Neurospora crassa OR74A: one gene and its partner. The protein of the gene in region 1 interacts with the protein of each later gene in a pairwise test. Links are inferred from orthologs where the notes say so. Each region holds a gene or a part of one and is shown on either strand. Other genes may lie near its edges.

The links.
Region 2: the proteins of NCU05972 (region 1) and NCU01370 interact in a two-hybrid assay, tested with the Saccharomyces cerevisiae proteins (3 studies listed by BioGRID). The link is inferred for Neurospora crassa OR74A from reciprocal best matches to the Saccharomyces cerevisiae genes DBF4 and ORC2.

What each region holds. Positions count from the first base shown.
Region 1 is NC_026506.1:3,250,926-3,254,969, forward strand, and holds the start of NCU05972 (sporulation-specific protein 6), read right to left. Parts: upstream 2,801-4,044; 5' UTR 2,101-2,800; coding exon 1,525-2,100; intron 1,458-1,524; coding exon 51-1,457; intron 1-50. Other genes in the region: NCU05971 (xaa-Pro dipeptidase), read left to right, coding at 3,490-4,044. UniProt on the Saccharomyces cerevisiae protein: Regulatory subunit of the CDC7-DBF4 kinase, also called DBF4-dependent kinase (DDK), which is involved in cell cycle regulation of premitotic and premeiotic chromosome replication and in chromosome segregation.
Region 2 is NC_026505.1:3,801,279-3,805,406, reverse strand, and holds NCU01370 (hypothetical protein), read left to right. Parts: upstream 1-1,382; 5' UTR 1,383-1,509; coding exon 1,510-3,206; intron 3,207-3,290; coding exon 3,291-3,405; 3' UTR 3,406-3,628; downstream 3,629-4,128. Other genes in the region: NCU01371 (UPF0660 protein, variant), read right to left, coding at 333-416, 483-821, 878-1,111. UniProt on the Saccharomyces cerevisiae protein: Component of the origin recognition complex (ORC) that binds origins of replication. It has a role in both chromosomal replication and mating type transcriptional silencing. Binds to the ARS consensus sequence (ACS) of origins of replication.

The DNA.
Region 1 (4,044 bases):
ACCGTCATGTTAGTAAGCGTCATAGTATGCCTGATATTGAGGAAACTCACCGCATCAAAGTCCTCGAACTTATCTTGACAGTTTTCGCAGTAACCCGGCTTGGGATCGCGCGGCTTCGGCTTTGTCTGGGGGACGGGTGTGCTCGCGGTCCTGCGCAATTTTCTCTCCTTCTTGGCCTGCTCCTGCTTCCGAGCTTCATCGTCCTCCCAGATACCAGGCATCGGGGGTTTGGCCGGATTACCCAAGCTGGCGGCACGAGTGCACTGGGCGGCATCCACACCAATCTCGGCCAAGCGACGAACACCAGAGTCTTGCGAAAGAGAAGGACCACCAGCTTTCTGAAGAACCTTGCGCTGAAGACCCAAAACTTCCTTGCTGATACCGGCCTTGGCGCCAAGGACACCGGTGGTGGACGACACCATCTGAGAGCGAATGGCGGATGTGAGCTTGTTGGCCTGGATGCCAGAAGCGACGGGCTCTCCGGCTACCAAACGGCCAACTTTGGTGGTATGGCTCATAAAGGCATTCTGCGAACGGAAATCGACCGAAGGGGTGGGCTCCTTGGCTGACTCGACGGTTTCGGGGGCATCATCAACAACTTCGGTTGCACGGTCGTTGGGTGCTTCCATCTCCTTAAGAGTACGCTTTCCCGTAACCGGCTTGGGTGATGGTACCTCGGGGGGCTGGAGGGTCTTGGTAGCCTTCTCGGTAGCGGCGGCGGCATCTGCAGCTTTGACAACTTTCTCCTTGGTCTGAGTCTTTTCCCGCCTCGTCCTTTCAGGGGGATCATAATCCTCAACAAATGGGCAACGGCCCTGGGATGCCACACGGAACTGAGGCCATTCGCCGTCCTTCTTGTCGGCAACTCTGTGGTACTCCCTCACCATGATCGGCCTCGTCTTCTCCTCAATGTCGTACACATAAATGTAGGGGCCCTTGAAGTAGTGGATGTCCTTGGTAACAACGGTGGGATCGCGATCGGAGGGGCCGTGAACACGCTCATTCTGGAGCATTTGGAGTACATTCGCAGTCTGCTGGCGAGCCTTGGCCCTATCCGCGGCTGCTGGTGTGTGGCCTCGGCCCAACAATGCCGCCTTGTACAAGTCCGTTTCAAGGACCATGCCGAGAATCCTCTGGAGTTTGTCAAGCGACCAGATCTTCTTGCCCATGTCCCGCGCACGGTGCAGGATGTCGGTGCTGCGTGCTTTCGGCTTCGGCATCGTCTCTTCCTGGGGCTGCACAGAGGATTTCCGGAGTGAGGGCTTGTCGAAAATGAGTTTGCGTCGGACCGAGTCGCCATTGCGGTTCAGGAGAGAGGGATCGATTGTCTTTGGCTGTTCACTTGTCGATTGCGTGTTGGTAACGGGCTGGTTCTCGTCCTGGACTGGCTTTACAGGGGGGATAGGACGGGTGGTGACGACATGGGTGATTTCGATGGAAAAGAACTTTTCCTCGCGCTGTGACCGAAGTGTAAGTATAAGCCGAGCGGTTGGGCCTGCATTGGGCAAGGGGTCGTTGACTTACAGCGCCCAATTGAGCGACTTGTTTGGCGAGCTTGTGACGTTGCTCGTCGGGAATGCTCTCAAAGTAGAAGACCATCTTGTGAAAGCGAGATCTCATAGAGGTTTGCCATATACTAAGGTCTTCAAGTTCCTTTGCGGTGATGCGGTCGGTCGTCGTGGTGGTGGAGGTGGTGGTGGTGGTGGTGGAGGCGGCATACAACCTCTCGGCACGGGTGGTGGTGCTGGTAGCCACGGTGGTGCCTGATCTAGAAGAAGCCCTTTCAGGCCGTTCCCGATCAATGGGCCGGGATATGGTCGAGGCCTTGCGCGTGATATTGGACACATTGGACCGGGAGCTCGTCGGCGAGGCGGCGGCGCGTTGACCGCCATGTTCAATCATCTGTCTCTTGGCCGGCGGTGGTTGACCGTATGGCTCCTCTCTAAGCTGATCGGCATGGGAGCGGACGGCGGCCTTTTTAGAGCCCTGTAGTGCCAAGGCGGTAGCCGAGGACCCACGCAGCGGCGAGTTGGCGGCATTGGGGTTGTCGGAGAGAGGAGCCCTCTTGGTGCCCGCGGCAGTGGTGGTGGTTGACGACATTGCTGTGGGATGTCGATCTAGCGATACTGTTGTCTTGTAAAATATCCAGTCAACATGCTATGGGTGTGGTGTTGTTTCTGTTTGTTCCGAAACGCCGGCTCGGGGATGGTAAGGGAGGGAGACAGTTTCCGGGCTGTCTGTCTGGTCGCGTGCTGGTACTAGCTTGGAGTTTGGGTAGGGGGACCCCGGATAACTATGGTACACCAAGAATCAAGTCGTGTGCTGAGTGCCGACTCGACAGACAAGACAAAGTGGTTTAGGCTCGGTGATCGATGGTGTCGATGGTCGAACAATGGCCCAATGCGGTCGGACAATTATTCGTCGTCGATCGTTGGTCGTTGGCTGGGAAGGAGCAAGGAAGCACTCGACCCTGGCCTGGGCGCAAAACAACTAAAGTGAGGCGGTTGGTGGTGGAGGTTGGGGCACAGTTGTCTGTTCTTCCAAAAACGCGTCTCTCGATTTTTGTCGCTGGAGGTTTTGGCTCCGTCGTCGCAGTGGCACGCGCTGAGCTCCGGTGACGGGAAGGAAGAAGGGACCGTTGTTGAACAAAACTAAGGAAACGGCTAAGGCCAATTGGATGATCTGCGCAAACCTTCCAATGTCGAATCGCGCCCGAAGTCAGTCGACGCCCGGTGCGAACAGGCCAAGATCCAATGTTCTGGTGTTGGTGGGTGGTCAAAAAACCTTTGTGTAATCAAAGTGTTTGGTTTTGATAATGACAGTCGCGACAGCAGGGTCCAGCAGGCCAAACCTCTAGGCAATGTGGGGGGGGGGGGGGGGGGAGTGCAGGCGCCCGGCCCGGGATGCTTGCACTGGCTGCCCTACACTGAAAAGCGCTGACAATGAAAATGCACCCACGCCTGGCAGCTGTGGTTTGTTGTTGCTGTCAGGTCGTGCTGGGGAATGCCAACAGCGGCTCCACATCCGCGGCTTGCAGCTGGCAGGCAGCATTTGATGCCCGGGCAGCGAGACCTGGACTCTTGGCAGTCCAGTGAAGCGCCTGGCAACTGTCAGCATTCATTTGAGCAAAAGTGAGAATGATAAAGTGACGAGATCCCATGTCTTTACCTTTACGAAACATACCTACCTATGAACCGACCTCTTGTCCGTCGCGAAGCAATTCAACTTCATTTCTCGCCGTACCTTGTTGCTTGGGGAATCTGGAGGTTGGTAAAGGTTGAGATTCCGACAACCCCATGATCAGTTTGTAGCTAGACTTTAGGTGCCGGTAGTCCTAGTAAAATACGTATCATCAACATTGCGAGCCATCCCAAACCAAGTTCACCTACGCCACCAACCCGGCGAGCCGAGGTGAACTCACACCTCGTTCTCACCTAACCACCACATTCCTTCCCCTCATCACCCTTTGACAACCACCCTTTATTTGACATGAAGCTTCCCCAAGCCGTCCTGCGGCAATGTTCTCGACACTTGCGCGCTCAGAATAACTGGCCTCTCCAACCACGTCTCCAATCTGCCAAGTCCATCCTCCCCGCATCTCACCCAAGCTCACCACCATCAACACCATGGCGCCCATCCCGGACATACGCAACGACGACGACGACGACGACAACAGTCTCAGCCGCCGACCTCGAATTCGGCCAGCCCGTCTACGAAACGCACCCCCACATCCTGCAACCGGGTGAACTAACCCCCGGCATCACGGCCCAAGAATATCACGAGCGACGTTCCAAGCTCGCCTTCGCACTTCCCGAAAACGGCATCGCCATTCTCGCCTCCTCGGAACTCAAATACCGCTCCGGCGCCGTCTTCTTCCCCTTCCGACAGGACTCCAACTTTCTGTATCTCACCGGATTCTCCGAGCCCGACTCGCTGGCCATCATCCAAAAGACGGGTCCCAAACCAGGCGACTACGTCTTCCACCTCTTCTGCCGGCCCAAAGACCCGCGCGCCGAGCAATGGTCCGGCCCCTGGTCCGGGCTG
Region 2 (4,128 bases), on another chromosome or scaffold:
AACGTTGCTCGAGAACTCTGATAATCGCGCAGACAGACGGAAAGACAGGCCCGGCAGCTGAGAGGAAAATCTGAAGCACGCCTGTTTCCCTCGCGCCAGAAACCACTATTAAGCGAGACAAGAAACATGTTTCGTAGGCAATGGACACAACGAGCAAGACATCGGGAAAGGGCACAACCACAACGTAGAGGAGAACAACGACGTCGGAACAATTAAAGAGAATGGGGCACAGATGCGAAAGAAAAGAAGAACCCACCTCAGCTACTGGGGATATGCAGAAAACATACATTACTACACGCTGTCTTCTTTCCCTGGAGAAGCACAAAATGCAGTTACTCAAAGGGGCTCACTGGCTCAGGAGCGGTATAACCACGGGATACAAGGAAGGGCGCAACAGTCCTCTCAACTCTCGACCACTATCATATCCCAGTCAGCAAAAGACTTTGGCTTATCACGCAGCTTGGTTGCAGGGTTTCACTTACGATGCTCTTCTGCTGGTGGGGAACAACTCCATCCTTGATCCAAATACCATAGCTGCCCATCATGTTGGCAAGCATCATGTCAGTGGCCAGTCGGTCTCCCACGACGGCGATCTGGTGAGGACTGGTGACACCGGTTTCCGGGTGGGCACGGAAGTAGGACATGATCTCGTCTCCACAGCCTGGCTTTTTCACACCATGGGGGAGAACAGTGATGCCGGTGGCCTTTTCAACTGCGGATGCCATCTGGCCGTCCTTGTCCCAGCTTAGGGCACCAGCAGTGTTGGAAACGATCAGAAGACGGCGTCCTGGGTATGCTGCTCGTAGAGCCTCCATGCGTTCCTTGGCTTAATCAGTCAAAGCGTTCCTGAATGGAATTGGGACGAGAGACAACCCACCTTGTAAGCCTCATACACTTCATTGTGATCAGGATAGGCAAAGCAGTCATCTTTGTCGAGCACGACAGCCTTTATGTCAACCTTCTTCTCGCCATTGCCGGAGAAGGCTTTGTTAAGAGGGATGGGCAGGTCGTTGAACGTTGGAACTGTAGCGTGGGGCAGACATAGTGAAGGCTTGGCGATAAGCTTGAAAATGTTCAATGAGGCAGACAAATTGAGATTGAGCTTTGACATATTGGTCGCGATAGTCCTCTTGGAGTTTGTTTGGTTGAGATGACATGAGGTTGCAAGAAAGCCTATGAACTCTCCCACCTATAACCCTCCCGCGAAGTACCTAGAGGTAGCGTATGTGGTGGTAGACAGGGGCTTGGCTTGCCCCCGTTAGTAGGCAGCGAACCCTGCTACCCGCAGGTACTCTCTAGCAGGTACCTGCTGTCTTCCCATCTAGAGGTAGGTAGCGTCATCCCGGGCGTATGTACAGCTTAACGCGTCTCAATTAAGCGAGCGCGTCTTGACTTTACAAAAGTTTCCCGTAGACTTCGAATTGCAGAGGTAGGGTAAAGGTACAGCGGGACTCCAAGGCATGCCATACAACTTGGACAACATAAACCAAAGCCAATAACACAAACGGTATGCCTCCTCGTCGGAAATCAACAGATCAGCACGATCTAGTCGAACGCCCCTCTCGAAAGCGGCCACTCCCTGCCGACCCCTACGAAGTTCCAGATGAGGATGATGCGGTTCCCTCCGCAAAGCGTCAACGGCGACAACCAGAAGATGGAGGAACACCTTCAAAGCGAAACGCCACCCCGCGGAAACAGGTCGATTTCCTCCAGCGCGACCTAGCCTCTGTGCCAGAAGAACCCGAGTCACCTACCGAGCAGACACCCAGCAAGAAAAGGATAGGGCGACCACCGAAGGCCAAGACGGGAGGAACACCAAGTGGCAAGCCGAGCACACCATCCGCCCTGCGCAAGAAACAAGTCGACGAGACACCGATCAAGCTCAAAGGAATCAGTGGCGTCGACACACCCGGCAGGCGAGGAATTGCCGACCGATCGGCTAGACGGAAGAGTGCCAGGGCTCTCATCGACCGTGTGCTGGAGGGCGCCGTAAGCGATGACGAGGACGAAGAGCAACAAATCGCACGAGAGATCTACGAGTCAAGCGAGGAAGAAGAGGAAGGGGACACCCAACAAGAAAACCTCGCCGACCAAGAGGCCGAGTTAGCAGCAACCACTCCATCCAAGACAGGGAGGGGGAGAGGACGAGGAGGCAGACCCCCCGGTTTAGCACGACGAAAGAAATCGCCCACACCACCCCGAGACCTCCCTCCCCATGAACAATACTTTTACCAGAACAAGCCGGGATCCAACAAAACCTCGAACAACACGCTCTCCTCGCTCGACCTCCTCATCCACGAAGAATACTTCTCGCTTCTCCGCAACCTGGGTCAGGACCCCCACGAAAAACATATCGATGCCCTCCAGTCGCAACACGCCGCCTCCTTCCCCCAATGGGCCTTTGAGCTCTCCCAAGGCTTCAGCGTCTGCCTCTACGGCTACGGCTCCAAGCGTCGACTTTTGCACCAATTCGCCGAGTACCTCTTCTCCTCCTCCGGCGGTAATGACACAAACAACACAACAATCATCATGATCAACGGGCACACCCGCACCCTCACCTTCCGCGAGATCCTCACCACCATCTCGGCCGCCATCGACCCCACCTTCCGCCTACCCTCCGGAAACCCGCTCGCCATGATCCAAAACCTCTTCACCCTCCTCTCCTCTTTTGCTCAAAAGCCAAGAATCACCCTCCTCCTAGCCTCCCTCGACTCCCCCTTCTCCCCCCTCCGCAAACCCCAAACGCAATCCCTCCTCGCCCATCTCTCCTCACACCCAGCCATCTCTCTCGCTTGCACAGTCGACACGCCCGACTTCCCTCTGCTCTGGGACTCTAGCTTACGCTCCTCGTTCAACTTTGCATTTCACGACTGCACCACTTTTGCAGACCACAGCAAAGAGTTGGACGTAGTAGACGAAGTACACGAGTTACTGGGTAGGATGGGCAAGAGAGCGGGTGGCAAGGAAGGAGTGGCGTTTGTGTTGCGGAGTTTACCCGAGAACGCGAGGAAATTGTTTGGGCTGATTGTGGGGGAGGTTTTGGTGGCTTTTGAGGACGGTGGTGGTGGTGGTGGTGGTACATCAGGGGCAGGAGACTTTGCAGCGGGAGGAGAAGGGCCGGGGGTAGAGTATAGGATGCTTTACAACAAGGCTGTGGAGGAGTTTATTTGCAGTTCGGAAATGGCGTTTAGGACGCTGCTAAAGGAGTATGTTCTTCCCTCTGTTGTGACTTGGCTGTGGAGATGATTTTCTTGGTTTTAAAGGGACAACGGCTAACAGAACGGAAACAGATTCCACGATCATCAAATCATTACGAGTCACAAGGACTCGATAGGGACGGAATACTTGAGCTTACCTTTTAGGAAAGAGGAGCTGGAGTCTATCCTGGAGGAGTTGATGTCGTAGTGATGATTGACGACGATGTATCATGACAATGCTAAGTTTTGAATCGAGATGAATGGGACACACACAGATTTGACCTGGAAGTTATCATACACACGGCAACACCCACCACATGTGTTGGAATGGAAGCCTACACATCATATCATAGTCTTAACATATCCAAAATCCTGGAAAGCTCACCGCAGAACATCAATAGCTCAAGTCTTACGATAATTACAAAGTCGAAAATGTATACTTGCCACTTCGATGTTTTGCTTGTCATGCCATGCTCTCATGATAGGTACTCGATTACCGAAAGGACCTAGTCCACTACTTTGTTTGGCCACACACACACACACACACACACACACACATCGAATCACGAGTCATCGAGCACAAAAGACATCAAGAGTATAACGAAGTTGAAATGTTTTTGATTGGATTCCTCAGTTCAGACAATTCCGTCTCGCGCGCCACGGATGCCAAGGAGACAAAAACAAGCAGCCGCCATGTCCGGGGAACTTTTCCCAAATGCCCGAGCTTCGATCTTGGTTCAACCGTATAAACCAAGCCCAAATCCCAAACTATGTCCAGGGAAAAAACAAACATTGTGCAAAAGAACACCTCCCCTTCCCAGGCCTCTGCCCGTTTAACACTCTCCTTTTTGATTAGCCCATTCGCAGATGCCCTTTTAAGCTTTTGCCCCGTGCCCGTTCAAACCCAATTAAGAACCCAAGAAGGACGCAC